Linked DNA regions of Rhinolophus ferrumequinum. The main gene of each other region encodes a partner of the protein of the gene in region 4 in a complex. Links are inferred from orthologs where the notes say so. Each region holds a gene or a part of one and is shown on either strand. Other genes may lie near its edges. The genes, in order: CC2D2A, TMEM17, TMEM107 and B9D1.

Region 1 (7,161 bases), on a different chromosome or scaffold from region 4:
GGTGTTCAGGGTTTCACTGACTTTAATCGGGAATTAGCACGTTAACGGGGAGCAGAGCACTGGAAATTCAACTGTTTCCCATCTACACCTCCACACAGGCTACAGAAAGAGCGGAAGGGAAATGATAAAAGCAGCTAAGAAAATAAAAATGTGAAGAGGTACTCTAGAAAAAACAAGGGGGCAGATAATGCTGAAGGACACAAAAGCTCTCTAAGAAACAACTCTGGCAATTAAGAACTGGAGAAAAAGAACTGTGAAGTCATTTAGTAACTAAAAAAAGATTCTTAATAAATTAAAAAGTGTGATGTATGAAAGAAAGAAGTAGAAGTAGAAAATGAAAAATGTAATGGGGTTGATTTTTTTCTCCTCATTCTTTCCTGATCATTACCTTTGAATGAGTTTCTAATGACAACAAAATTTATTTTTTTATGAACACTCTTGCTAAGAAAAGATAAATCAATACTCCCCAACTTTAATATACCACTTGTCGTCATATGCACTGAGCACTTGTTAATATATTTCTATTGGCAACATCAAAATAAGAGCCATAATTTACTGCAGGTTTCTTTTGTGCTCTCTCTCTATCCAAGTTGTCCCTAGGCTTCACAAGAACCCTTCTAGCTCAGTAGCTCTTGCCTCAATTTACATGTAAGGAAACCAAGGTTTCCTCTGAGTCTAACCTCTGACAGTTTACCTAATTTGCCCAAGATTATAGTCATAAAATGCCATATTTAGAACTTGACCCCACGTCTGTGATTCCAGAGTCCACCCCCTTACTACTCTCTCTCTCTGTCTCGCCATATATTCTTGCTTTTTCAATGATATCAGTAACTGTTCTATGCTAGCCCACTATTCTGGAACTATTTTCCATTGAAAACTGTGGAGCATTGCCTCAGTGAGAAAGAGCTTTGGCTACTTCAGGCCAGTGATTTGTTTAACTCAGTGCAGAACACCAAAGACATTTTTGAAGGAAAGTACTGACACCTTCATCAAGGCAAAGACTATCCCTGAGGGTCACCAGAGGATCAGAGTCATAAAAGGACCCTGTGACAAATTCTACAGAATGTAAGAAAGAAAGGAATGAAGGTAGATGAAAAAGGTGGCATTGTTTGAATCTCAGCCTTGGCTGCTTAAAAAATAATATAGTATGTGCATCCTACTCCAGGACAGTGAAAACATGGGTTTATAGAAAGAGTGAGGGCTCTGTAAAAAATTCTGTGGACCTGGGTTCAATTCCAGCACTATTTATCAGTTGTGTGATCTTGGAGCAATGCCTTTACCTCTCTGAGATACGTTTCTATGTCTGTGAACGTGGGGCCATTAATTCCTACCTCGATGGGTAATAATTTTATAAGGGTTAAATAATAGAATGTGTGTAGTAAAATGCCGAACACTTACCACGCTCTCCATTCTGGTTAGTGTTATCAGGAGAAGGAGGTGGTAGGGAGGGAAAGTAGAAGACAAGAGTGGGGAAGGAAAAAGAGCTTAGCGGACAGAAGGGGAGTCACAAGAAAGACCTTCTGTGATGTTCAAGTCCCCCATTCCCATCTTTGGTTCCTCTCTTCATCCCATGGGTCCAATAAGCAATATCTCCCCTTCCTTCCCCAGCTGGGCCCAGGGCAGTTTCCTTTCCGTTTCCATTCATGGTGATTTGAAGCCTTCCCCTGCCCTCAGAAGCATGAGTATTTTCTCCCTGTGTACAGTGCTTAACTGTTTCTGTCCCATCCTGTGAGAACCATGGGCAGGTGCCACACACACCTTTTTGAATCCATTACCTGCTTCTATAAGTTATTCTGACCATAGCTTCCAGTAGTAGAAGGTTAGTGACAAATGGCTTTATAGAATCATTTAATCAGCTTCATATAATGTGTATTGCCTTCAAAGAGTACCTACAACTATCTGAGCTGAGCTGGGTGGTGTATGCCCGATGCACACACACGATGAACTGAGTGTCTCAGGCGCTCCCTGGGGGTGGTCTCGCTGGGTGCTAAGAGCGTTAGACCCTTTTATAAATCTCTTATGGCACTTAGCTCATTGCACTGTTATTATCTGTTTGTAAGTCTGTCTTCCCGGTAAACCCTGAGCTTCTAACCTGGTCTAATGCATCTTTGTACCCTTTAAACTCCCGCTCACTGCCTGGTGTGTTGCTGATGCTCAAGAAATGTGTGAATGAATGTCTCTTTAAACAAGCTCCAGGAGAGACAGAGAGAGACTTCATTCTGGTGCTGAGTTTATTTGCAGAAGTTACATGAAAATTTAATAACATCCATGTATTTCCCATTAGACTTCATTTGCTTTTCATAGCACCTCTTTGCAATGAAGGGAAACAATCAGTTTAAATCGCAGCCAGCAGATTTTCTTGTGGTTTTTTTTGGAGAGAGCAGGGAGCCTCAGCCCCGTCTGTCATGGCCCTTTTCTGTCTAATGCCAAGAAAAGTGAAGCTTGCAATAGCTAGTACTTAGCCCTTCGAACCAATGTGAGCTAAAAGGCCCGGAAATGCAAACGCAGCAAATGTTCCTGGGAGTCTGGAAAGCAACAGGATGGAGGGGATGGAAGCCCAAGGAAGGAGGCAGGGTGACCGGCTGGGAGGGATTCACCAGGCTTGTGAGGAGCTGCGTTGAACGTTTCTATACACAAGAACCCGGGCAGAAGCGCAAATCAAAGCAGCCGAGTAGTGCTCTACGTTTTAATTCCAGAAAGTAAAGCATGAATAATAATGATGAGAGACCCTAACTTTACAAGTCAGTGAAATCTGCTCTGGGCTCCGAGGGCAGAGGCTGAACTCCAAGGCAGGGAACCGAAAGCGGGACCCCAGTGCTGCAGCCCTGCTCCCGGGAAGAACGGATTTACCTGAAAGACCTTTAATGAAGGCACTTTGCCGATTCTGCTTTCCGGGATGAAAGGGAAGTGGAGCTGGGTCTTCCTGTTGAATCTTCTAAGCGTCCAAACGAAGGGATGAATGTTGGGGCGTCCCCGGGCGGCTCCCTGGGAAGCTGCAGCCATGTCTCCAGCAAAAACACGCACTTAGCAACGTGTTCCTAAGGGAGGTGGCTTGGTGGCTTTATTTCTCTTAAAGTGACAGGTTATTCCTAGTAGAGGAACACAAAGGTGCGTGGGGGGTGAGAGCAGAAAGCAGCCTACAGGACAAGGAAAAAGAGAATCCACCTGGGGCAGGAGCTGGGCAGAAGTTAAGTCAAACTTTAAGAGCCGTTCCCTCCCTCATGTGTGGGGTCACTGGCATTTCTGGTAAAAGACAGGCCGTGCTCAGAGGCGGGTGCTTTAGAATCATGATGGGTCATTGTTTTGGAGTGAGGATATCTTTGTAGTGAAGGCTCCCTAGAGGTGCTTCCAGGCCCCAGCAAATACTGCTCTGCAGTGTTTTCCGCTTAAATGTGGGAGACTGAATGTACAAGGTTAACCTCTGCTTTTTCTCTGACTCCCACTGAAATGATTGAGCGAAGATATAAATGTGATGGCTCAAAAAGCCAAGGGATAGGAGAAGAGGCAAAGCAGATGGAAGAGCACGGAAGGAGTCGACCAAAGAAAGCCACACTCCAAGTATGCGTGTGTGTGTCTGTTTACTAGTGCGCATGTCCATGTCCATGTGTCTCTCTGTGTGTAACTGGGTGTGTTTGAGTGTATCTCTACGCGTGTCTCGGTTGGTTTGTCTCTGGGTATCTGTGTCTATGCATGTCTCTGTGTGTTTCTCTGTATGTATGTATGTATCTGTGTGTCTCTGTTTCTGTGTATGTTTGCACATCTCTGAGTGTGTGTTCCTCTGTGTGTCCATGTACATACATGTGTGTCTGTGTGTGTATCTGTGTATGTGTGGGATGGGGTAAGTAGGCGTAAGAATGAGGAAATGAACTGATCCAGTCTGCAGAACTCCAGAGAAGCTCAGGCTTTGGCTCAGTGTTGTGATGCGCTGAAGAGTGTCCCACTATATCTTTTTTAGTGGGACACTAAAAAAGATATGTTGGAGTCCTTACCCCCAGGTCTTCAAAATGTGACCTTATTTGGAAATGACTCAGTTTAAAATGAGGTCATTAGCATGGGCCCTTATCCAATGTGACTACATTCTTATAAAAAGGGGAGAATCTAGGCACAGAGACAGACGTGCATAGAGGGAAGGGGATATGAAGACACAGAGAGAATAGCATCTATAAATCAGGGAACGCCTGAGGCACCAGAAGCGAGGAGACACATGGGACCCATTCTTCCTCACAGCCCTGAGAAGGAACCAATCCCGCCAATGCCTTGGTTTCTTACCTCTCATCTCCAGAACTGTGAGACAATATATTTCTGTTGTCTTAAGCCACCCAGTGGGCTGCTTTGTTGTAGCAGCCTCAGGAAACTAGCACAGTTATATACCAAGGAAAGTGGGGAGAGTTATGGGGCTGAAACGCAAGATTTGGAAGTCTGTATACAGAGGGGCTATGTCCTCAAGCTCCTTCCTTACTCCTGGCAGCCTGAGGAAACACGCCCATTCCCCCACCCCCTCTTCTTCTGCCACTCAGAGGAGACTGGAGTTTTCTATGGAAGTTGAACCATAGACACTCTGGTCTCAAGTCCCAGGTACAGCAGACAGTGGGTGTGTTTCAGGGTTGAAAACTGAATATGAAATGGGGAGGTGGGTAGGGCACTCTCCTTCTCACAAAACTGAGGCAAACAAAAGTATATCTTTGGCTCCCCCAGTAACAAACTGGAAAACATGGAAAAATTATTTTCTGGAGAAACTGAATGGTCACAAAGAACAGATGCCAGATACTGACACTTCTGGATCCTCCAATGGAAAAACAAAACAAAACAAAACAAAACAAATCTATCATATCACCTTTACAGAAAAGCATTGCAGAGAAAATGAGAAGATCTCAGGTTAAGAAATTCCACATATGTAGTTATGGAAAGAAAGAACCAAGAAAATGAAAAGGTAGAATTTATCAAAGAAGTAATATAAGAAAAACTCTTATATTTTTATTTTAGATTGAAAGCTGGCACAAGGAGACAGAAAGTTATCTCTCGGTTTCTTTTCTGCATGTGGTGGGAAAAATATTCTCCACAGAATTTATAATCGTTGGCTTGCACTATGCTGTTTAATTGTCTTATTGATGCTACCTATATCATTTAGGAACGCTCCCCCAAGAGACACATTTTAAAAAGCGATCTCCGTTTACTGTATTCCTGTGGGATTCTGGGCAGGAGCAGATACGAAATATCTTCAACTAGTCAATTCCAGATGGCTGCAAATATACTTTGCTGAAGATGAGCTCACAATCCAAAATTAGACAACACAGGAGGGAACAATCAAGAGTCCGTAGACAACCAAAGGGCATATCCAAGAACTTCTGATAACACAATGATCAAATGGAGAATATAAAAAAAAACAATGACCATAAAAGAACTTAAAAGGAGGCTTTGAAGATATGAGAGATATACTATGAAAAAGATCAGGCAAATGTGCAAAGGAACAAGCTAGAGCTTTTAGAAACGAATAATAAAATTATGATTTTTTTTTTTTAAGCAAAGGATGGGTTAAACTTCTGTTAAGAGAGCTGGAAAAAGAATTAGTGACATAAAAAAAAGATATTAAAAAATTAAAATGGGGCCTAGAGAGACGGAAAATGGGAAAGAATGGATGAAAGTCAAGGAGGAGAAATTTAAGGGGTCCGCCATATCTGGTGGAGTCCCAGGAAGGTAGAAGAGAGAAAGAAGGTGAATGCTGAATCTTAACATAGAGAGATCTTCGTCAACTTCCTTTTCTATGTTTCAGTTTCCTCATCTGTAAAATGGGGTTAATAATATTAATGACCACAGAGGGTTGTTAGGTTTATTAATTTAATGTTAATCAAATCCTGGCAGATGCAAATGCTATACGGTTTATGAATGAAAAAAAAAAGGTGAATATTGTCTTAGCTCAGACTGCTTTGATAGAATACCATAGACTGGGGGTGGGGCTTAAGCAATAAAGATGGATTTTCTCACAATTCTGTAGGCTGGGAAATCCAAGATTAAGTTGCCAGCTGATTCAGTTTTTGGTGAAAGCTCTCTTCCTGGCTTGTAGATGGCTGCCATCTAACTGTGTCCTCACAGGGTATTCAGATGGAGACAGAGATAACTCTTCCTCTTCTCATAAGTCCACCAATCCTTTTGGACATCCTCACTTGGATTAAGGCTCCACCCTTATGACCTCATTTAATCATCTAACTTTATCTCCTAAAATTCTTACTTCCAAATACAGTCATATTGAGAGTTAGGGCAGCAACATGTGAGGTTGTGTTTTGGGGGACACAGTTCAGACTATAGCAGATGTTAATTGTAAGAGATTATCTACTTGAAGTGGTTAGTTGCCATAAGAGGATTTATTCACCAGTCTTGTGCTAATTAACTTTCTGATTATGACATTCCTTATCTGTTCGTATTTAACTAAACTAAACCAGTTCATAAGAATTATACATCTCACAATGTTCCAAAATTATTAAAGGGCATAATTCGAAAACATCATTTCTTGCAAAAATTCTTATGTGAGCAAAATAAATGAGTCTAGCAGATTTGTTTTAAATCAAAACACAAAATTCTCATTCTTTTAAGTTACGTGTTCCTAGCTGGCTGAAGAGCTTCCAATCAAGAACTTGTCTTGAATCACACATCACAAGCTCTTCTTCTGCGTCTTTTCAGATAATCAAATATGATTATCCTTCTTTCATTTTTTAATGGGGTGAATTGCATTAACAGGCTTTTTAACGTCAAATTTTTCTTGTGTCTCTGGGGTACACTAAGTTTGGTCAAAACGTTTAAAAAATTAATTGGTGGATTTTAGTTACTAATGTTTAGATTTTTTTGCCTTAATGTTCATAACTGAGATGATATTATTTTTCGTTTTTTGTATTGTTTTTTTTTTAGGATATTTCTAATCTCAGAAAAAGCAGACTAATCTCTCTCTGTGTACCTCTTTCTGTCTCTGTCTCTGTCTGTATGTCTGTCTGTTTCTTTCTCTCTCTCTCTCACACACACACACACAAACTCTGTTCTGTGAACTTGTGCATAAAACACTTGGGTCCAGTGAGATTTTTTTTATCATGGTAAAAATATATATAACATAATATTTGCCATTTTAGCCATTTATCCAGTTTTATCGTGATATAATTGAAATATAAATTTGTC
Region 2 (7,192 bases), on a different chromosome or scaffold from region 4:
ACCTCTTTAAATATACCACAATCCCACCCATTCATTAATATTCAGTTCAATACCACTTTTTCCCATAAATCCTTTCTTGCTCAGATCCCCTCTAGGTACTTCTTTCTCCTCTAGGTACTTATAACTCTAACCTGTATATAAGAAGTGCTAGCAAAGAACCACACTCCACTCACTCAAGACACAGTCCGGTATACTAAAGAGATCATGGGCTTTGGAGTCCAAGTAAACCTGGAACTCCCCAAACTTTCCTGTAACTCTGGATGCCATACTTGAGATAAGTTATTTAACCTCTTTGAGCCTCAATTTCTTCATCTATAAAATGGTAACATTAAAATGACCTCACAGGTTGCTTGTGAGGATTAGAGATAATATGAATTATTTCACCTTAACCATGCCTGGCACCTAAAAGGCTCTCAGTAATATTCGTCTACTTTCCTTTTCTTTCACTTATATACAGCCTCAGTGTAAGAAAAGACCACATTCTACCCAAATTTGAGACCCTCATAGACTCTAGCATCTTGCTTTACACATGGTAAATACCAAATACACATTAACAGAAAGAATGAACTAATGAAAACAGATTGTCATAAGGACATTATCAGTGTAAACCTTCATGATACATCAGTTGCATTTATTTAAGACTTATTATAGAATATGTTTTGGTTTTATGTAAGGTAGAAGGGTCCTAAAATAAGAACTTTATTTTTTAAATTGAATCGTATGCATACTAAATTTTAGTAAATTCTAACAATTTAGGGGCAGATACATATTTTGAAATCAATTGCTCTAAATGTAAGAATTTACAAAGGCTCTAAAATAAATTTTTAAAAAACAGATTTCTTCTTTTTCTCCACAACTTAGTATTTTATGTGTCATTTAATAATTTTAAAATATAAGAAATAATCATGGTCTCACAGCAATAAGGTTTCCTTTAGCTCCAAGAATATGTCTGATTATTATGATCTACTTTTAAATATTGTTATGATCTACTTTTGGTTGTAACTGTTTATTAAATTACCATTGATAAAAGAGTGAATTCTTAAAATCTGTTAAATCTGAAGGCAACTTACCATCCTAGGATTTTTTTTCATAACAACAGTACAATTCTTGGTCAGCTGTGGATATGGTAATGATAAACATAATTATAGTACAAATAATCAAACCCATTTCAGATCCACTAAGAAGAAAATGTAGAAAAATAATGATAAATTCTTTAAACTGATAATGTTAATACCTTTGGAGCAGAAACTGTAGTCAACTTTTGCAAGGAAGATTTTTTTCTTTTTAACTTTTGAACATGAGCATCTTAAGAGTTACGCTATGTGTATATTTCAGCAGATCAAATTTATAATCATGCAGTTGAAAATCAAGTTAATATGTAAATGAACCATGAAAGCATAAGAAATGAATTTACTAAATTTTGCAAAAGTACATGTTAAGTTCTGTAAATGGAATTTAAATTAAAACATTATGTAATATAATCAGGGGTAAGTAAACTACCAGCCAGCTGCCTGATTTTATATAGCAAGTGAGCTAAAAATGGTTTTTCACATTTTTAAATGGCTGGGGGAAGAATAAGCGAATAATGTTTTGTGACACTGAAAAATCATAAGAAATTCAAATTTCAGTGTCTTTATTTATAAATAAAGTTTTATTGGAAAACTGCCGTATTTTTTCAGTTACCATTATCTATACTGTAGCTGCCACAGAGACCTGTGGCCTGCAAAATGTTAAATATTTACTATTTGGCCCGTTACAGAAAATGTCTGCTGACCCATGGTACCTTGCATTATCAGATTTTAGAGCCTGTTGAGCCTTAGCTTTAGAATCAGAGATGTAAAAACCTACTTTTTCACATTACGTTTTTCTCTGTACATACTAAATCTGAAGAAGCCTCAATTTGGGGGACCTGCAAGTAATCAAGTTGAAAAAAATGCAGCTATGGGAATTAACTTTACTTTTCTCTGATCCTTTTGAAAATACCTAAACCAAGCAAAAGGGAATGATTTATATTTCCCGCAGAATTAAGTGATAAAAAACTGGATTTGGTTGACAATATGAGGTCTATCGTCATGATTTAAAAAGGGAAAACTGTTTTGGAGGAAATTGTGTTATCACTTGTCTCATGTTAAATGTATTTTGTTACCAGATTTAGGGAAAGAGTTTATAAAGGGGAACGAAAGAAGAAGGTGGGGAAGTGGGAAGAGTTTTGTTGAAGGCGATGCTAGTGTTGCCAGTGTCACTCTGGAGTGGACAGTGGTTTAAAATGACTCATTGAAAAAAAAAAACTTTCCATCTCTTCTGCCAGAAAACCGCCTTGTGGTGGAACGTACTTGTTCTGCTAGGAAAAGAGAAAAGGAAAAGATATTTTACCGGCGTGAGGAGTGGGAAAGGGTGATTCCCTCCGTCTAAGTCAGAAAACCAAGGGCTGACGTCGCAAAGGAAAAGCAACGCTGGCCTTCAAAGAGGGTGTGGGAACTGATGTGTGCTGTGAAGGCGGCTTTCATATTTTTATTTTTTGAGGAAGACCAGCTTCACCTCAGCTGCCCAGCTTGCAATTACCTGGCCAGGCCGCGGCACGATCAACCCCGGACTGGCCGGGTATCAGGGCTGAGATACGTCCCAGTCCCAGCCCCAGCTCTTGGCCCGGCCTCTCGAAGGTACTTCACCCACTGCGGAGAACCAGCTGAAGGCGAAACCGCCATTTTAGGTCTGGGCAAAATCTGGCCGCTCCAAAACCCGCGCCAGTTTCTCGGTGAGCCACACACACTGCTCTGGGCCTCAGCCACTCACCCGGACTTTCGTTGTACTCCGGCCCAGTCCGGTTGGAGTCGCTGAACACGGTCCGGCTGAAGTTTCCCAGCCGCAGACGGACCGAATCCGGCAGCTCCATGCCCGGGCTTCGGTACCGCTCACAGCTGGGTGTGCGGGCGCAGCCCAGTGCTGCGGTTCCCACAGCAACCGGGTGGTGCTGGAGCCCAGGGCGCAGGCGCAGCAGCACAGCGGGGTTGAGGTACCGGTCTCAGTCCCGCAAGCCGGGAAGGTAGGTGTTTGTGGAAAGCCAGTTCCTGCCAGGCACCTTAGCCAGGTGCGAAACGACAGATTCCTTAGTCCTGTTTTAAGCCCCAATGTCTAAAAACAAATAGAAATAATCATAAATGACCTGGGGTTGGATTGTGATACATGGACCCCTCATACCTTGTTGGTGGGGTGCAACCTTTCTGGAAGGAAATATAGAATGAATGAAGGGCTTAAAGAATGTTCATGACCCAATAGTTCCTATTCTAGTGATATATATGTATAATATTCCTAATATATAATATACTTAGAAGAGTGTGCATATACATTCACTATATATGTGTGTATATGTATATATACATACATTTGATTGAATACATTGCAACAGCTTAAAAAAATGCTTGCATCGAATATTTGATGATAAGGATTAACTTTAAGTAAAATTAAAAAAACAAGTAAAACTAAATAGAAATGAACCCAACTTAGCAAAATGTGTGCGTGTAAATATGTGGAGCGCTGAGAGGAGGAGGTAGCACAAGCACTGGCTTCAAAAAAAGACTAGAAGGAAATAATTCAAAATGTTGGTAGTTATTTCTGGATAGTGGGTTTTGGCTGATTTAAATTTTTAAAAACATTTCTGTGTTTTTCAGCTTTCTCTCAAATAAGATGTATTATTTTTTAAAAAGCCACTGAAATATAATATGCTTTTCAATCTGTGGTTGGAAATCTACGTATGAGAAGGGCCTACAAGTTATACACAGATTTTTGACTGGCGGGTCAGTATCACTAACCCTCATGTTGTTCAAGGGTCAGCTGTACAGAAAAGGGCACCAACTGAATTTACGCTTGTAACCAGCACCCAGCTCAAGAAACAACCTTACCAGCATACTGAGAAGCTCCCCTACTTCCTATTCCCTAAAAGTCACTAAACCTCCACTTCTAACTGACCTTTCCTGTTTTCTACAACATAGTATAGTTTTGCCTATTTTTATGATTTATATAAAAGTAATATTGTAAGTGCTATTTTTAAAAATCTGGCTTTTTAATAATCAAAATTGTTTTAATGAAACTCCGTCATATTGTTGAGTGTAGATTCTTTTTCCTTGCTGTGTATGACCATAACACAGTAAGTTTATTAATTCTGTTGATGAGCATACGTATTTTCTAGTTTGGACCTATTATGAATAGTGCTGCTTTTGGTGAAAATATGCCTCTCGGTGAACACTTGCATGCACTTGTGTTGGGTTTATTTCTAGAAGTGGAATTGCTGGCTTATGAGGTGTGACCCAGCTTTAATAAATGCTGCCCGCAGTTTTCTAAAGTCCTTGTACCAGTTTCTGTTGCCTCCAGCAATGTAAGCATTCCTGTTGCTCTAAATCTGTCACCAACATTTCCTATTTTCCTTCCTTTCCTTCTAGCCATTCTGATGGGTTTGTGATGAACAGTATTATTTTTACAATTAAAAGGAAAACCACAGGTATTTATATGAGTATAAATGTCAAGAGGAAGTTATGGGAGGGAACAGCTACATGGCTAGAATTTCAAAATAATTCAGCAAATGTTGATTTCATTCGTACTACTTTTTGGGACATTGTACTAGGCTAAATAGGGATATAGTCCCTCCCCATCAAGAACTTCAGCCCAGTGAGAGAGTGAGAGACATGGAAACAAATAAGTACAATACACATTAGGAAAGGAACACAGATGAGGAAGCAGTTAATTCTGGTTGGGGATGTTAGGGAAAAGCTGGCCGACTTTTGCTTTTTTTTAAGATGGATCTCAGGCCTCAACATCCTCAGAAAGGCTTCCAGGACTTTCCTGAAGTAGGGCTTAAGTGCCCTCCTCTCTGTTTCTCACAACATCTTCCTCTGTGTTACTTTGGTCCCAGCGCTAGTCACACTATGCTATTAATATAATTGTCTATTTGTGTCTGGTTTTTTTTGCTAGTTCTCAAGCTCTTTGAGTTCATAATGGGCTTTCATCTTTATATCCTGAACACTAGAGTACAGTTCCTGACCTAGAGTGGAAACTGGATGACTACTGAATGAATAAGGGGAATGAAAGGTCTAAAGATCACTCACATATCTTCTCATTTCTAGTTCAGAAACTTAGCCAGCCCTTATAAAAGTTTCACTCTATAGAATGGAGAATTTATATATTAAAACACAATGAATTATAACAATCAAAAAAAATTTTAATTTAGCAACAAAAATATCAGTTTTCATCTATTAAATTAACCAAGATTTTTATAAAGGGCAAAGTGAAGCAGGAAGCTTCATGCTCTGCTGATTGAATTACAATTTGAACAATTTCACGGAGGAAAGCAAATCAGCAATATTTATGAATTGCCTTAAAAATATTCCTGCCTTTAATGCAATAATCCTGATTTTAAGGCTCTATTTTGGGGAAATAATTATAAACACAAAGTTTTATACATCAGGATATTACTTCCAACATTATTGATATTAGTTAAAAAAGTAAAAGGTGGGGGAGCATTTGAAGTGCCTAACCAAAGAGGGGAGTTAAGCAGATCATGATGAAGTGCTGAGCTGTAGTGGAAAGGATGCCCTTGGAAGCAGAGAGAGCAGGGTTCAAATCCCCTAACATTCTCATTTTACCATCTAAGAGCTGTGTAATTAATTTCAGACATTTGTTTTGTAAAGTGAGAATAATGATAATTTACGTTATGGTTGATGTGAAGATTATATAATTAAACAGGGCTTTCTATAAGTGATAGCTATCATTGACATATCTATTTAAACAGTATGTACTACAGTGGAGTTAAAATCATGCCAGCATCTAATTTTTTGAATTCAACTGTACCTATGAGACAACACCTCTATTTTCTAGTAAAGACAGAGGATGTGATTAACCATGTTAACTAAATTTAAATCAAGGCCTGAGTGAATCTTTTAAAGATTTTTTTTCTCTCTAGCGTTGAAAAAAGAGGTGAAACACCTTGTTCAGATTGCAATTATTCCATCAAAATCCTTGGGGGAAAAGTTGACCAATTATGGGTATTTTTTTCTTTTTATTTATCATTCAAGTTTCCTGTAATAAGCGTGCCTTTCATAGTTCAAAACAAATCTTATTAAAAATAAATTGAGAGGAAGAGGCAACGGTAGTACAAAAATATATTAGAGAGGATTTTTGAGAGGAAAGGTATTGTGATTCGGAAAGAATCCTGCCATTATTGATGTCACAAATGGTCCAAAGGGCTAAAACAACTTTCAAATATTATTTTGTTAGTTGATGCTCACCGGGGGTGCCAATACACATTTTAAGAAAGGAAAACAGCATTAAAATTGTAATACTCAATATATACCAATAACAAAAGATGAATACAAGTCATGTTTGACTTCCAAGAGGTGCTCAAAGTGGTTACCAGCAGCGTCCAGACACTTCTGATTATGGTGAACTATTGTTTGAGCAACGTTGACCAAAGTGTCCACTTGTATTCACTTTTTTAGCACCCTTGGTATATAGGCAATCACATAGTGAGAACATGGATTCAAGAGCCTAGTGTAATTTAGGTTTCCCATATTCTAGACCTATTACTCAGAATATAAAGAGAGGAGTATAGAGTCTCTGTTCTTAAAATCATGGGTAGATTAGTAAATAATCCCAGCAAGATTAGTAAATAATCCTATAAACTGTTTACTTCCTATGCCAAAGTTGATGGTCAGAGTAATAGCTGCTTCCCCAATAATCGTTTAATGTATTTCATTTGGGTTTAATTGCATTTATAGTTTACTTTCCTAAATATTTTCACAAAAATTTTGAGCTTAGTATATTGATTTGTTTCTCTTTGACAAGAGGCAAAGTTGTCTGGCAGTAAATGTATTATGCTATGTGACAAGAAACTGATTGGGGGAGTCATTTAAATTACTCCTTGGCATAATAAAGATATAAATTCTCTCTACTTGATACTAATAAAGAGTTTAGAAACAATATTTTTTAAGGGAACATGTTCAATTTATTGCTTTAAAATGATATGTGAAACATTTGTAAGAATTTAGACAAGTTTAAAAGATAAGTTGTATATTTGGATAGAATATTTTCAGATATGATTCCACATCAGCATTTAAAAAAATCTTTAAATAACCTGAAATGTAATCTTATAATCCTCAAATTGTTAATGGCTAATCAAAACCTTTTTGAATCCCTAGTACAA
Region 3 (7,173 bases), about 11 Mb from region 4:
AGTTTGTGTGTGTTTTAATAATTTTTCTTTTAAACATGTTCTTTTCATGTGCTAGCAGGCAGATGCTAACAGGTGGAGTGTTCCTCTGCGAACAACAGGTTTGCCAGGTTTCTGGGTAGGAGCTCCAACCACCAGAGAAATTCTCCCTGAGCACGTGCCCTTCTCACCATGGTGAGGTGGAAGGTTTGACAAAAGACCATTTATGACACCACGTGGTATGATCAACATTAACGATCGTTTGATAGCAAAGCCCAGAGATAACAAAAAACATTTACTGGTGACAAAGATTTCTCCAGAAAAAAACTGGGAGTACTCGGCACTTGAATTGGCCCAGAAATTGAAAGAAAAATCTTGTATGTTAACGTAGAGCCTCAAGGTCAGAAAACGGAACTAGCAGCTTCCAAACAAATCCGCCTAAAGACACTCCACAAACTAAAACAACGAGATAACAAAACCACTCATTAAGTAAAACCTACAACCAGTAAACTCCAACTACTACAATTGTAAAAGAAATGATCGCCAGGAAGAATCAGATAGGAGCAATCAGGGTGTTGCAAGACCTGATTACGCAGAGACGTTAATCACGAATCATGCGAACTCCAATCATCACATTCTAATCTGTCCTCCGAAGAGGAACAGGTAAGGATTATCCTACCTGACGATAAGGAACTTCTGACGGCATTACCATATTCAGTAAAAAAGATTCCGCTATAAGCAAGGGTGAGAATATAACATGTTAGTCGGAGCTACCTAAAATATTCATATTCTTACATTTCTGTTGCTACATTTATTTGCAGATCTTTTTAAAATACAGGTTTTTCCCCATTTGGCTGCCAAAAGGGATAAACTAACTTCCCCAGAATGCTCCACTCCACGATCTTGCAGTCCTGCTGGCATTACTTATTTACATATCTCCGCCCACTCCCTTCTGCCCGGCGTCTACCGTAATAACCAAAAAAGCGATACAATCTGCAAGGAAAACAGCCTTCCGTTTCTCTAGTAGTTTGGCTACCCCAATTCTCCTCTGAAATTTTTGTAAGCCTTGATCTTACTCTAAAATAGGTTTTATTACAAATCATTAAATAAAACGCTGATAATCCCAGACTCGACAGATAATTACTTTAAAATCCTCCACCAAATGCAGTCTTACGGGGGAAGGTTGAAGATTTTGCTTTCCTCCTTCCAGGAACGGTCAATGGTCCCTTGCTTCTCCAGCCTTCCTCCCTAGGCTCCCATGAAAGTGATCAGAAAGGTTTCTTTTTCAACCCAAAGACGCTGATGAATAATGCCATTTCAGTGACAGCTGGGAGGGCACTATGGAAGGTTAAGGTGGTGGGTTCAGGGCCCCTTCCAATAAAAATCCCCGAACCAGAGACCCCACCCCCAAAGTATAGGTGGAGCGGGACTTCAAAAAACTAAATACAGGACTTTGAGTGGATCTGGTATCTCACACATGGAGTAAAGGGCTGGGTGGGGCTACCTTCAGATTTACAGTAAACCTTCCTCCCCCATCCCATCCCCAAACATTGGATGTTACTGTACCTGCAGAAGACAAAAATGTACCAGTATGTGGTGCACTCCCAACGCTCAAATATGAAAAAGGATAGTGCCACAGACGCACTACAGTGAGCCCCGATGGCTGGGAACGCCCCTGAGTCAAGGAAAGTCTTTGGATCCAGAGGCAGTGGTGGACCAGAAAAGGCCAGTGGTGGGGCTGGCATCTGTGTCTGGTTCATTTCTTGCTCCCTCGCCAATTGCGAAGGCACAGAGCCAGTAGCCCTGCCTTCTGAGTTTTAGGACAGCCATGTGAGTAGAGGCTAGAGCTGAGCCTGCACAGCTGGGACCGCAGGCTGCCCCCATCCCAGATCTAGGGGCCAGCCTGGACTCTTCAGATGAGGTAGAAGTGGGTTCCCAATTTACCCCAGGCTACACAAGAGATTGTATTAAATTATCTAAGAAGATCTCTCAACTGGAGAGATTCTGTTTGCCTGCTAGGGCAGGCACTATTGTACCAAAAAGTTAGGTGGCTGAAGGGAGTAGCGATGGCAATGGCCCCTGTGGGAAAGGTACGCAGGCAGAAAGGATACAGATGAGGCTCTGGGTACTGTTGAACATGGAAACTCCTGAGAAGAAACCGGCCAGCTCCACTGCAAAGAGGCCCAGGGTGACAGACAGCGCTGCCACCAGCCTGCAGAGAGGAAGGGGGTTGGCTCAGGCCTTCTGGACTTCTTCTAAGACCCTTCCACTCCAACTACTACTTAATTCTGACCACCCCTCCCCAAGTGCTCACTGAATGTCCTGCTTCTCATACTCCTCAGGGGTAAACGTGAGAGGCAGGCAGGCCTGGATGTTGCTGTCCTGTTGAGCAGGTCACAGAGAAAGAGAAGTGAAAGAGGGGTGGGCAGCGGGGGATAGGAAGACCCAACCGGGTCAGGCCCTGGGGATAGAGCGGTGTTGGGCTGGGACCACACCGACGTGGGAATGGGGGTTGGGTGGAGGGTGGCCGTGGATCTTACCCGGGACCAGAATAAGGTGATGACGACGACCAGATGCGCCAGGAGCGTCAGGAAGCGAGAGGGCACGAGCCCCGAGATCCGGCCCATGGCTCCGAGGGGTAAGGGCACCTCCTGGAGCAGAGGCCGTGGTCTCTAAGGCTGGAAGCTCAGGCAGCGCCACTCTTGAAAGTCTCCCAGGTTAGCAGGCAAAAATTCGACGTACGCCGTCTTCCCGCTTTCACTGGCGCCGCCCAGTTGCCTTAGCAACCGCGGAGGCGGACACCAGGACCGGATCTCTGAAAATCTCGCGAGATCAGTAAATTCTCGAGTCGCAGTGGACCTCCTGGAGAGCGTGGGTCTGGGGTCAGCTGAGGGTGGTCGCAGTAGGGTGCCCGCCTCCCGCCAGCTCCCCACGCGCAGCCGAGCCGTCTGTTTGCACCTGAGACTGTGCTGTGTGACTGGGTCCCGCACCGCCGAATTTTCCCACGCGGGTCCAGAGGACGGAAAACCGCCCTGTCCTAGCCTGGGAACACCCGTTCCTCCGCGATGTCCTACCTCAGGAGCGACCCGGGCCCACACCCCCTTGCGTAGCCCAGGATGACCTTCCGCGTAAGAGTTACTCGCTGCTGACCCTTGTCACCGCCGTGCGGGACTTAGGGCACCCCCATGCCTTAGGCATGGACACTTTCTCTCCTTTCCTCTTCCGCGTCTCTCTAGCATCCCACTGCCCTGGGCCCGAAGAGACGAAGGAAGCCGAACGTGGAGAGGTGGATATCCCTAGATTGTCCAGCTGTCACTTATTGTCACGGAGCCCCTGGTTGTTCTAGGACCCTAGACCTGAACCTTCCTTGATTCTGATTCCCCCTCAGACAACTTTGCTCAGTTTGGCGAGAGATTTGCAGAGTGCAGAAAATGGCCAGCTCTCTTGAACTAGAATGTGGATGAGAAGCGTCTTTTGGGAAGGGAGTGGACTACGGAGCCGACTAGGAGGGATTGGAGGAAGGGAATGGTACCCGCGTCCCTGGGAGGCGAGGAGAGGGCAGCGATGCAGACTGCTTCGATTTCCTTACATCTTTCAGGTGTGGACACCCGACTTTGCCCAGTTACAGTCCAAGAACTTCTAACTGTCGGCGACTTCACTGACCTTTGGGCCTCAACGGGGATCCCTAAAGAACGGAAAGTTCTCACCTGTGATTATTGCTCAGAGTCCAATAACATTCTTGTAGGGACCTCCCTGCCCACTTTCCAGAAGAGCTAGCTCTCTTCCCACTCCCTATCTCAGTTCTTTTAAGGCGGTCTAAACTGCAAGTCCAAGAGGCATTTCTATTTCTGATTGATTTATTTATTCATTCATTCAACAAATATTCATTGACCAGCTAGTAAGTGCCAGGCACTGTGCTGGGCTCTTGTTCTTGACGAACAGGACAGAAGTTTCTACCTTCATGGAGTTTATAGTCCAGTCAGGGAGATAGACAGCAAACATGCAAATAAATAACAAATCTGCATGGTACTATGTGCTATAAATAAAAATTTTAAAGGGAAACACTAGAATAATATTGATTAAGGAAAGGCTCTTTGAAAATGGGTCATGTGTTCTTAACCTTTATTTAAGGAAATGTGGTCTAAATTGTGAAGAAACACATTTCTCTCTTCCAGGACCCCAGTGTAATAAGTGGACTTCCTTTTTCTAAACCAGTGGGTGAAAAGATTCAGAACTCAAAAAGATAGTCAGAAGATGTTTCCTCAGGTCATGAAAGACAGAGAGTAACATTTCCAGATTAAGGGAGACTAAAGAGACCTGACAAATTTAGCATGACAAATTTAATGTGTTATCCTAATGGATCCTGGACCAGGAAAAAAATAACTTCATTTCTTTTATTATTTTATCATAAAGGACATTAGTGGAACAATTGGCAAAATTTGAATAAGATTTCTAGCTTAGATAATAGTATGGATCAGTGTTAATTTCCTGATTTTTGAAAATAATTCTATTGTCTTCATGGAAGAAGATGTCCTAAAGACTGAAGTGTTTAGGGATAAAGTGGCATGTCTGCAATTTACTCTCAAATGGTTTAGAAAAAAATATATATGTGTCTGTAGAGATAGAATGATAAAACAAACATGATTTCGATGAAGGTATATGGGAATTCTTTGTATTTGTAACTTTTCTGTAAATAAAATTATTTTAAAATAAGTTTTACATGATAAGCCCTTTTAAAGTTTTTCTTCCAGGTATTATACAATATTATTAATGAGACATTAAGTTGCTTTATGAAACGAATGATTTCTAGGATTGCAGTTCCCGAAATGTTGGACCATATATTGAAACCATATAATGGTATTTACATATAATACAGCACAACCTTTTCCTCATAATGGAGACAATTGATCTCCAAAACTCATAAAATAAAAATTGCAATCATTTAGACTTTTCAGAGAAATTATTTTTATCAAGAGTGAGGTCCACAAAATCTCTTTATTCTCTACTCAAAAAAATATTGGATGATAATCAAATATTACCCACACTGGTTTCTCAGCTCTCAGATGTGCAGGGGGAGTTTCTTTTAACTGTTGAACCATTTCAAAGTTCTGAAAATATTTACAAACCTCCCCTATGTCAGGCCGGACAGGCAAACTCATCAAGTACAGTAGACCCAACTGTTTCTCTCCCTTGAGGTGACCCTCATCACTGTGAGACCCTCAAAATGAGTGACACTGATGACACCTAAAGTACAATGAGAGGTGGAAATCCTGTATTCTCCAACGTGGAAATTACAGAGTAGCAAGCATGGAAACATTCTTAGCACATAGACAAGATGCAAGGACCGAAGGCCTCCTCATGCTTTTCTTCCTTCTGCCTATAACTTACAAGCCTTTTCTCCTAAGAGTGGAAAGCCAGGGCCTTCAGAGCCAAATTCCTCCAGTGGCAGTTTATCAAGTCTGACTGTTCGCACATGAAGGAAACATTGTCATAGTGTGAAAATGAGGAAAGACTGGGACCTGCTTTTACAAAATGAGGTCCCTGGAACAAAGAGAATATAGAGGAGTCAGCTGTGTGACAATCTGGGGAAAGAGCATTCTAGGTGGAGTAACAGCACGTGCAAAAGTCTTTAGGTGAGAACAAGCCCAGTGTGTTTGTTGAGCAGAACGGAAGCTAGTGTGTCTGAAGCCTAGCTAATGGAAGGGGGAAAAAAGATCAGGGTGAGATGGGATATACAGACAAGGGTCAAATCATGTTGGGCCTTGCAACCATGGGGAAGGACATGATCAGGTTTGTATTCTAAAAGATGATATTGGTTGCAACATGGAAAATGAATTTTAGGAAGATTTCAAATAGAAGGCTAGTGAAGAAACCATAGAGTTATCCAGGAAGGACAGGATGAGGTTGAAACAGGGTGGAATCAAGAAGGTAAAGTGGAAGGAATCAAGAGATTGTTAGAAGATAAGAAGGTCTGAACATGGGGCTATGGGTTGGTGAAAAAAAGGGAGGTCAAGGATGACAGATTTTGGGCTCCAGCAGCTGGAAGTTTGGGGCATTCTGCTTATAATAGGCTTCCTGACTGGGGGACTGACTAGATAGTAAGAACCGCGTAGTCATATTTCACATTGTGGATTAATAAATAGCAGGCAGGCATTTAGCTATGTCCTGTCATTTTTCCATTACCTTGGTTCACAGAAGCGTGACCTAGAGAAATCTCAAAAACGTTGCGTTTTGGAGCCGCCCTGTGGTCATAGGAGGTACTGCTGCTGACTTGGTGTTCACTCACTCCAGAGCTGGAACCCTCTCACGTCCTAACATTTATTTGACCTGGTCATAAAAGAACTTAGAAAAAAATTATTTTGTCATGGAAAAATTTAAACGTATATACAAATTTAAAAAATAGCATAAGGAGCCTCTTTGAAGCCTATCATTCTATATCAACAATTACCAACACGTGACCAACCTTGCTTCCTCTATACTCTCCCTCCCATCCCTATTAGCTTATTTTCAAGTAAAATCTCAGACATCACCAAATAGTTCAAATTGCCCCCTCAAACATTTTTTTTTACAGTTTCTTTGAATCACGTCCAAATAAAGTCCATACATTGTACTTGGTTCATGTGTCTCTTAAATCTCTTTTAATCTCAGGTTCTTCTCCTCCCTCCTTCTTCCTCCTGTTTTCTCTTTTCTTGAAATTTATCTGTTGAAGACATCAGGCCATTTATGGGCTGTGTTCTGGTTGGGTCATTTAACATGTTCCTCTGTGCCTTGTGTTTCCTGTAAACTGGCTGTGAGATAAGTCCCACGTTTAATTTTCTGGTAAAAATACATTATGAGTGGTGGCTTGTACTTCTTATTCCATCACAGCAGGAAGGACTTAATGCCTGCTTGTCTCTCTTTTTTCTGGTGTAAAATCTGAGCAGTGGGTTTAGACTGAGACAACCATTATAAAGTTCCCTATCACTTTTCACCTATGGGTTTAATTGATTATCACGGCCTAGCTCCATTATTTCATGAAGGGTTGCAAAATAAGGATGTCCTAATTCTATCATTCCTTCTGCATTTATCACTTGGGATTCTGCTATAAATAAGAATGTGCCCTCATCATCTCGTTGTTTACCACGAGATACAGGTCATACAGGAAAGACTGGATAAATGTATGTTTTTTGTCCCCTCTATTATTTACCAGTTTTCAGA
Region 4 (7,888 bases):
TCCCATCCTGCCCCTGGGAAAGGTCAGGACCCTGACTCTGACCTACCACGCCGTCTGAGACCTGCCTGTCTGTGACCTCCCTGCTTCATCCCCAACCACTCTCCTTGCTCACTCTGTACACTGGCCACACTGGCCTCCTCGCTGTTCCTCAGACGTGCCAGGCACTCTCCTGCCTCAGGGCCCTTGCACTCTCTGCTCCTTCGACCTGACAAATTCTTTCCCCAGATTTCCACATGGCTTATTCCGGCCTTTCCTTCAGGTCTTGACTCAAAAGCTACCTTCTCAGCAAGGCCTTACCTGGCCACCTACCCATTATACCTTCCCTTCCTGACTACTTTCTCCTCAGCACTTACTACTAGCTAACATACTGGAATGTGTCTGTCTTCCCCCAACAAGAACGTGCACTCCAGGAAGATAGAGACTTTTGTCTGACTTTGTTCCCCACTGGATCCCCGGCACCCAGAAGACTTTTAATAATTATTCAGTCAAATGGGTGTACAGAAAATAAGAACCGTCATCTCACTTGCACGATGAGGAAACAGAGAGGTTGAATGAGTTGGGTCTCTATTTCCTCAACTGCTGTGAGGATTAAATGAGAGCTCTGCAAACCATAAAATGTGATGCAGGCCGAAGCTGCCACCACAGTCCTGCTCCTGGTGGAGACAGAGTGTTCCTTGGGACGTCTGAAAAGGAGAGCTCCGGAGTCCTCCCCACAAGCTGAGGAGAAGCCAAACAACGAAGGGACTGGCCCACAGTGTCTATTGGCTCAGCCGCTTCCAGGCTGGCTCTCTGGGGCCCGCCCGCACTGCCCATGCATTTCTGTTTGCTGCCATGCGCACGAGGGCTCGTGAGTGAGCACAGCCTCAGATCACGGATCAGTGAGCCCAGTAATGTTTGTGTTTTCCACTCCAGCTTTACCAGGAACCAACTCATGGATGGGTCCCCCCCTGAACTGGGTGGGTTCTAAACTGGGAAGAGAAGGGGTACGACTGACACCTTCAGAAACGCCAACAGTCATGAAGGCTGTAAAGGAGGCCTAAGGCCCAGCTTACCGCTGTGGGGGCCCAGTCCTGGCCATACACAAAGCAGTACTTGCAGTAGAGATCATCGTACTCAGGGAACTGTGGAAACAAGCACACACAGGGTCTGTTTATGGGAACTCGTGTGAGGCCAACATGTTAGCTAGGCAGGTGTAGCCAACAGTCATTCTGAACGTGAGACCCCTGGGCTGGGATCTAAGTGACAACCAGGAATGTGGACATGGAATTGAGCACTGGGGCTCGACATGTGGGAGTTCCACGGGTCCCGAACTGTTACCGCCCCTGGGCCTCAGCTCAGCCTCCGCCTTTTGTCTGACATGCCCTTCCCATTCCTTCCTCTGGCAAACTCCTACTCATCCTTCAAAACTTACCCTTCAGGGAGCCTGCCCTAACTTCTAGGCTGTCTGAAGGGCCACCTCCCAGCTCCTTCAGTCCCTGGTGCTTCCCTCCAGCAAAGCACTTGCCTGTGTTTATTCCTGTCAACCCCATGAAGCTGTGAGCAAGGAACAAGTCTGATGCCTTTCTGTGTCCCCAGCACCTGACACAGAGGAGGTCTAAGGGAATGGTGCTGAAGTGAAAGGTCTGACAATCCAGGGGGCTATCAGCGCAGGGAGCATAGGCCTGAAGAGTGGGAGGGGCCGGGAGCTCTGAGAGGGGGAGGCAGAGTGGGAGCGGGCTGGGTGCTGAGAATGCTACACCTGACCCAGTCCAGCTGAGAGCCCCAAGTGAGACAGAAGAGGGGACGATGGTCTTGGGCACTAGGCCAAGGGGCAGGAGGACAGGGTGGGAATATGGAGGAGCATCCCTGACGAAACAGGAAGGCAGTAAGACACCTACTAACACTCAGGCCCTGGCAGAGCTTTATCTAAACCATCTCCATTAATCCTCACAATGATAAAATAATAAACACCATCTCCAACAGCCTGGAAGGGCAGTGGAGCAAAGCTTTGGTGTCAGAAAGACCTGGATTCAAGTTTCCAGCTTTGCCACTTCCTTTGGGCAAGTTTTTCCATCTGTAAAATGGGGAAGTAAAATGAAGTAAGATCTACTTCACAGGGTTGTGAGAACTGAATGAGCAATGCTGAGCTTCGAGTATGGCACACAATGAATACGTACTTAGTAAACTTTATACACCACACACACACACACACAGACACACACACACACACACAAATGGTTCTTATAAAATGTAGGAGGATGGATAATGGCGAGTAGCATCCCCTGGCGTCCGACAGGCACACCCTCCCTGGGTCATTCCAGGCCACCGCCATCGTTGGATCAATTAACTTAATCATCTCCATTCCCAGCCAAGTTCAAGGGTCTGAGTGTTCAGAGTGCGGGGCACTCGCAGGGCACCGGACACGGGGCAGATGCCTCGAGCTCCGTTACGAGAGGACAAGGCCCAGTGTGCTGGCCGCGCCTCCGCTCCTCCGGCGAAACCCGCGCGAGGCTCGCTGTGACTCAACAGAAGGCGCACGCACGATCGTCGCGCGGGGCCGCAGGCTCGGCCGGGCGCGAGCTCGGTCCCAGCTCCGCCTCTGCGGGCACATCAGGGTGGAGGGCTCCCAGCAACCTCGCGCCAAGACTCTCAAATGCTGGCTCCCTTTCCCCGCAGAACCGAGGCATGACACGCCTCTTTGGGGCCACACAGCGGCCCAGGAGGTTGCGGGGCGGGTCCCCAGGGGAGCGTGGGGGTGGGACCGCGGCGGGGTCCACGGCCGCTCACCTGGGCGCTCTCCACCTGCCCGTTGACCATGAGTAGGAAGACGCTGGGGCCCGCGGCCGCCATGGCAGGGGGCGCACGGAAACCACCCGGGTTCCGCGCGCGATTGCCCACAGGCGCCGGGGTTGCCCTGGAAACAGATGGCGTGGCGGGCAGAACACGTTTCTTGAAAGCCCGACCTTCGAGAAGGCGAGCGTACGTGGGCGGCGGTGCGCAGGCGCAGTCCGCGGCCCCTCCCTCCTCCGGGAATGCTGGGAGAGTCCACGCGAGGCAGGGGCGGGAGTGGGGGCCGGGATGCGGAAGCCAGCCCGGCGCCCAATCCCGTCACAGCCGCGGCCCTGCCCCGCCCGAGCGGGCCTCGGCAGCGCTCGGCCGGGAGGCGGCGCTGCGGCTTCATCTCGGGGCGACGGGGCGGGGCCGCGGAGGGAGGGGCGGGGCCGCGGAGGGAGGGGCGGGGCCGCGGAGGGAGGGGCGGGGCCGCGGAGGGAGGGGCGGGGCCGCGGGGTCTGGGGGGCCGGCTGGACCGGGCGCTCCGCGTCGGGTCGGGGGGACGCTCCCGCGGGGCTTTTAAGGCCGTCGTCTCCAAAACGTTTATTAAACAAAGATGGAGGAACCTCAGAGGATACTTGGAAACGAGTCACCGCTCCTCAGTGTGAAGGGGGAAACTGAGGCCCACGGGGTGAGCCAGAACCCACGGCTCTGTCAGGACATTGTTCAAATGACAGTTACTCCGCAGCTGCCCCGAGTGGGTCGCAGCTACTGTTAACACATTGATCCGGTTGCTCTTAGCTCTCATGGTTTGCATTCGCACATTTATTATTTATTATTGTCATAACTCGGACTAAGGCTCGCCCTCCCCGCCCCCCCTCCCCCCAGGGCCACCCTGATCTGTGGCTCCCTGGCACATCTTGTAACAGCTTGTTAGCTAGGTGAATACCTGAATCCATCTCCATCACACAAAGAAGGAAGCAGATTCAGGAGGGGAGGCGACTGGGACACAGTCAGCAGGTAAGTTTAGGATTCAAACCCAGGACTCCACAGGCTAAAGACCCTAACCGCCTCTTCCTGGGCCTGAGCCAGGCCCAAGGGTGCCTCTTGGCTGAGCTGTAGAAGCCGGTGAGGTGGCGTTGGGGACCTTATCCTGGATCCAGGAAACGAAAGGATACACAGGACTGTAGACTTCTGGGAGTCCAGGCCCCATGCAGGGACTCCAGGTCATTACGCCCTGCAGCAACCAGCTGCGATTTTGGGAGCAGATTAGGGGAGTCCCATCAGACACCTGTGCCGGAGAGGAAAGGACAGGTTACAGCCAGCCCAGACCCACTGACCCCTCCCTCCACGTGAGCAAAGACCTGATTAGGGGGAGCCTGGGCAGCCAGTGTTCCTACCTCGGTCGGGAGAGGCTGGATGAGTGGGGCTCCTGTGCACCGCAAGGCTCTCAGGCAGGGATTTCTGCTCCCAGGGACTTGCATATTCCCTTTCCCAGCCCTTCAGTGTGTCTTCCCAGTTAAAATGCTTTCCCCCACAAATTCTACCACTGTCACCCAACTTTTTCCTCCTTGTGGCTTTTGAGGCTCAGTATTACACAAAAGTCAGTTTTCAACAAAATGCTTGTGATTATCAAATAACCAGGGGGCTCCCAGTAGTTTACAACCTGGCTATGTCAAAGGCTGCCTCACATTTGAATAGGACCTAACGGGGGAGACACCCCAAGGGTGGGAAGCTCTGGGGTGGCCATCAGGGGTGCAGATAAGCCGGTTCCCTGGGTTTTGTGGAATGGGAGACCCCAGGTGGAATGAGAGGGTAACCAGGCCTAGCTCGATCAAGTCTAGTGGGACTAGGAGGGACTGAGGTGGAGGGCACCTCGGGACCAGCAAGTGCCAGGCTGGGATCCTCACCACCAGTTTGAGGGCCCCGGGGAGGGGCCTGGAGCACTGGGAGCCTTTGGACAGGCCGACGTTCAGGTCAGGGCAGTCAGGTCGGAGGCGAAAGGCATCTTTGCAGGTTCTGATGTGGAGCGGTCTCAAGGGGACACTGTGCAGTTCTTGGGGTGGCACGTAGGGATCTGCAGGGCGGTGGGGACAGACCCTCAGCCCTGATTGCTATCCAGCAGGTTTGCAGCAGTCCTGCCCTGCCAGTTGTTAACATACTGCAAAGCTTCCCTGCCTGCCTTGTCTCCCCCCCCCACACACACCCTCCTGGGCTTCCAGTCCTCTGGACACTCCTCAGCCCCACCTCTCTCTTAAACAGTCCTCTGTTAGACTCTCACAGTCCCCTCAGGAAAGCTTCAAGCCCACTGAGATCTGGGACACACTTCAGCCTGGGGAGGGGATGGGGACAGTGCCCAGTGCCAGCCATCTGGGCTGCGTGGAGCTGGAAGCTGACTCAGGCAAAGCAGGGTGGCAGGGCCCTGCCTCTCCCTCGCAAGTCTGTGTCCGTGAGGCTGACCAGCGGCTGGCCCGGGCAAGGTTGTCCTCTGGGGCTCAGGGACTCAGGAGTACTACCTCTGCAGGGTCCCAGCAACACGCCGGCAGTGCTCCTCGTCCAGTCCAGCCTCCTCACCACCCTCAACCATCCCAATCACCTGCTCCCATCCTTACCGAAATCAGGCTCGAACCCTTGGGCCCAGCAGAGCTGCCACTTGAGTAAAGGTTGAGGCCAGGTGGCCAAAGGCACAGGCTGCACGGCACTGCTGAGAGATGGTGGCCTTGCCAGCCGGGCCAGGGCCAGGCCACCGGACCCAGAGCCCTTGGGCCCTCCTGGGGACAGCAGCAGCTCCTCCACTCTGGACTTGCTCTTGCAAGTGTCCAGTGCCAGTCGATCTGGGCCCAGGGTCACACTGTAGTGGGACTGAGGCCAGCTGTGGAGAGTGGGAGGCAATGAGGCTACGGTCCTCCCTCCTGGGGCCCCGCTCCACCACCTCCCCGACCCTGCACACACCTGCCAAAGCAGTTGGCTCCTGTGAGGACCCACTCTCGGGAGATGAGGGCCCCCTCGCAGCGGTACCGGGTATCCAGGAAGATGCTTGCCTGCCAAGGCCACGTGTCTGGGCCCTTTCTGCTGTAGGTCTCAGCAAGCCTTGGCCCTGCACCTTGGGAGAATGAGGCCTCATAGCTCAGCTCTGGGTCCCGGCATCCTGGACGTCTCCCATTCATCTCTTTCCTCTCTGTGCCCCCATCTTTCCATCCAGGCCTCTGCTAACCTCTGCAGCCGCAGCTCCCACCTCTTGCCCCCCACCCCCGCCCCTGTTTGAAACCACACTGCCTGCAGTGGAATCCTGTGTGACTTAGAGCAAGCTACTTAACCTCCCAGAGTCTCAGTTTCTTCGTCACACCCACAGGGCTGTTGTGAGGATTAGATGTGATAATATATGTCAAATATTTAAAACAAGCTGAAGTTCAATACCTTTTTAGCTGTTTTTCTTATTAAAGGTAGTTCTTGGAATACTCATGCTTTGTTATGCCTCCAGGTGTATAGCATATCATCCCCCAGCTGCTCCCCCTAGACGACGCCTGTTCAGGCTTCAAACCCCACCTTTGTGAAGTCTTCCTTGATCTCTCCCCATCCCCCCACAATCTGCCCTCTGGGAGGCTTTCCTCCCCTTCTTGCCCAGGAGCTCATTACAGGTGGGGGTCCAGCTCTCCTTGCTTTTCTCTCACAGGATCATTGCTAAGGCAGCTGGGCCTCCCCCCACCTTGTTAATCTAGAAGGTCAGGTCTCATCTACGTGGAGCTCTTCCTTGCAGGCCAGACACCCCTACTCACTGCCTGTCACCTACTCTGTCCGGCACCCAGGAGACCTGGATTCTCAGCCCTCAAGGGATGGATCCCTTCCCCCTCTACTCCCCGGGCTCCCTACCCACAGCTCCTTACCAAACAGCAGGAGCAGCAGCAGTGGCAGCATTTGTAGAGGAGGCCCGAGTCTTGACTCCACTGGGTGTGGCCTCCTCCCTGTCAGCCCAGGAAATTTAACCACCCAATGCCCCCTCCCTCCCATACCCATGCGGCCCACGTCATAGGGCACAGGGGAACTGGCCTGGGGAAGAGGAAGCTGTGCGGCAGGGCCTGAACCATGGTGCAGACATCCTGCTTACAGACCTTGGCCCCTCCTGGTTTGGGGCCGGGGACCTCCTAGCTCTGGCCTGCTTTCCGTCTCAGGTGAGTGTCAGAGAGACCAGCCGACCGCGGTCGACAGCAACAATAATAATCCTCCCCCCACCTCTTCCCATCCCACAAAGCTCTGTAGCATCCATAGGACAGGGCTCCTTACAACAATCCACAAAAGCAGTGCTACCACCCCCTTTTATAGATGGGGAAGTCGAGGCTCAGGGAAGTGAAGTGACTTCCCGAGATCACAATGAGTTGGAACCAGAGTTGGGATTCGAAGTACGGCTGCTGTGACTCTTAAGTCTCCAGATTATTCCTCTCACAGCCCTTCCAGGTCTTTCTTCCTGGCTCAGCCTCTCAGCTCTCCAGTAGAGAGAGCTGGGGCCACGCCAGGAATGCCTGTTGGTTCCCTGTAGAATGGGACACAGGCCAGGCCCACAGCTGAATTTCACAAGTGACACAAAGCCCTCTGTGGCCTGCCGGGTCCCTCGGGTCCCTCCTGCTGCTGCCCCACCTCCCTGCCCCTCAACCTTGCAGTACTAGATGCCTGCACACACACTGTCCGGTTAAAAATCAAAAATCGTAAGCATTTGTTTTTGTTGGGGTGGAATTCACATGGCCTAAAACCAACCATGTCTATGTGTACAATCCAGTGGTGTTCAGTACATCATGTTGCCTTTACACACACTCTCCCTTCGCACCTGGAAGATCCCTTCCACCTTCACTGCTTGAAAGCTTCTTATTGAACTTCAAGATCCGGGTAAGTAACCCCTCCGCCAGACTGCCTTTTTTCCGCCTCCTCCCCCCAAGGTGGTCCAGGGCCTTTCTCTGAGCCCCTCAGCCCCGCAGTCACAACTCTCTCCCAACCACACTCAATTCTCTGAGCACCCACGGAGGGCAGGCATGTTGGAGCCACTCGCTAAATGCTCAGATGCTCATCGAATGACAGCATGAGTGAGTGAATGAGTGAGTGGGGGTCTTTGGGAGACACTTGGGGGGTTGAGTCACCCGTGCCCTCA

Evidence for each region.
Region 1: B9D1 (region 4) and CC2D2A share a complex: the UniProt entries of both Homo sapiens proteins name them as parts of the tectonic-like complex. The link is inferred for Rhinolophus ferrumequinum from reciprocal best matches to the Homo sapiens genes B9D1 and CC2D2A.
Region 2: B9D1 (region 4) and TMEM17 share a complex: the UniProt entries of both Homo sapiens proteins name them as parts of the tectonic-like complex. The link is inferred for Rhinolophus ferrumequinum from reciprocal best matches to the Homo sapiens genes B9D1 and TMEM17.
Region 3: B9D1 (region 4) and TMEM107 share a complex: the UniProt entries of both Homo sapiens proteins name them as parts of the tectonic-like complex. The link is inferred for Rhinolophus ferrumequinum from reciprocal best matches to the Homo sapiens genes B9D1 and TMEM107.

What each region holds. Positions count from the first base shown.
Region 1 is NC_046288.1:78,839,132-78,846,292, forward strand, and holds the start of CC2D2A (coiled-coil and C2 domain-containing protein 2A), read right to left. Parts: upstream 3,018-7,161; 5' UTR 2,851-3,017; intron 1-2,850. UniProt on the Homo sapiens protein: Component of the tectonic-like complex, a complex localized at the transition zone of primary cilia and acting as a barrier that prevents diffusion of transmembrane proteins between the cilia and plasma membranes.
Region 2 is NC_046296.1:26,930,509-26,937,700, reverse strand, and holds the start of TMEM17 (transmembrane protein 17), read right to left. Parts: upstream 3,012-7,192; 5' UTR 2,894-3,011; coding exon 2,794-2,893; intron 2,687-2,793; exon of another isoform or gene 2,563-2,686; intron 1,116-2,562; exon of another isoform or gene 1,071-1,115; intron 1-1,070. UniProt on the Homo sapiens protein: Transmembrane component of the tectonic-like complex, a complex localized at the transition zone of primary cilia and acting as a barrier that prevents diffusion of transmembrane proteins between the cilia and plasma membranes.
Region 3 is NC_046304.1:10,814,412-10,821,584, reverse strand, and holds TMEM107 (transmembrane protein 107), read right to left. Parts: upstream 2,771-7,173; 5' UTR 2,604-2,770; coding exon 2,517-2,603; intron 2,359-2,516; coding exon 2,291-2,358; intron 2,189-2,290; coding exon 2,088-2,188; intron 1,640-2,087; coding exon 1,543-1,639; intron 1,315-1,542; coding exon of another isoform or gene 1,245-1,314; exon of another isoform or gene 1,225-1,244; coding exon 1,122-1,224; 3' UTR 520-1,121; downstream 1-519. UniProt on the Homo sapiens protein: Plays a role in cilia formation and embryonic patterning. Requires for normal Sonic hedgehog (Shh) signaling in the neural tube and acts in combination with GLI2 and GLI3 to pattern ventral and intermediate neuronal cell types.
Region 4 is NC_046304.1:160,173-168,060, reverse strand, and holds the start of B9D1 (B9 domain-containing protein 1), read right to left. Parts: upstream 3,004-7,888; 5' UTR 2,830-3,003; coding exon 2,767-2,829; intron 1,122-2,766; coding exon 1,053-1,121; intron 1-1,052. Other genes in the region: tryptase gamma-like, read right to left, coding at 3,815-4,042, 4,662-4,828, 5,364-5,623, 5,704-5,854, 6,636-6,666. UniProt on the Homo sapiens protein: Component of the tectonic-like complex, a complex localized at the transition zone of primary cilia and acting as a barrier that prevents diffusion of transmembrane proteins between the cilia and plasma membranes.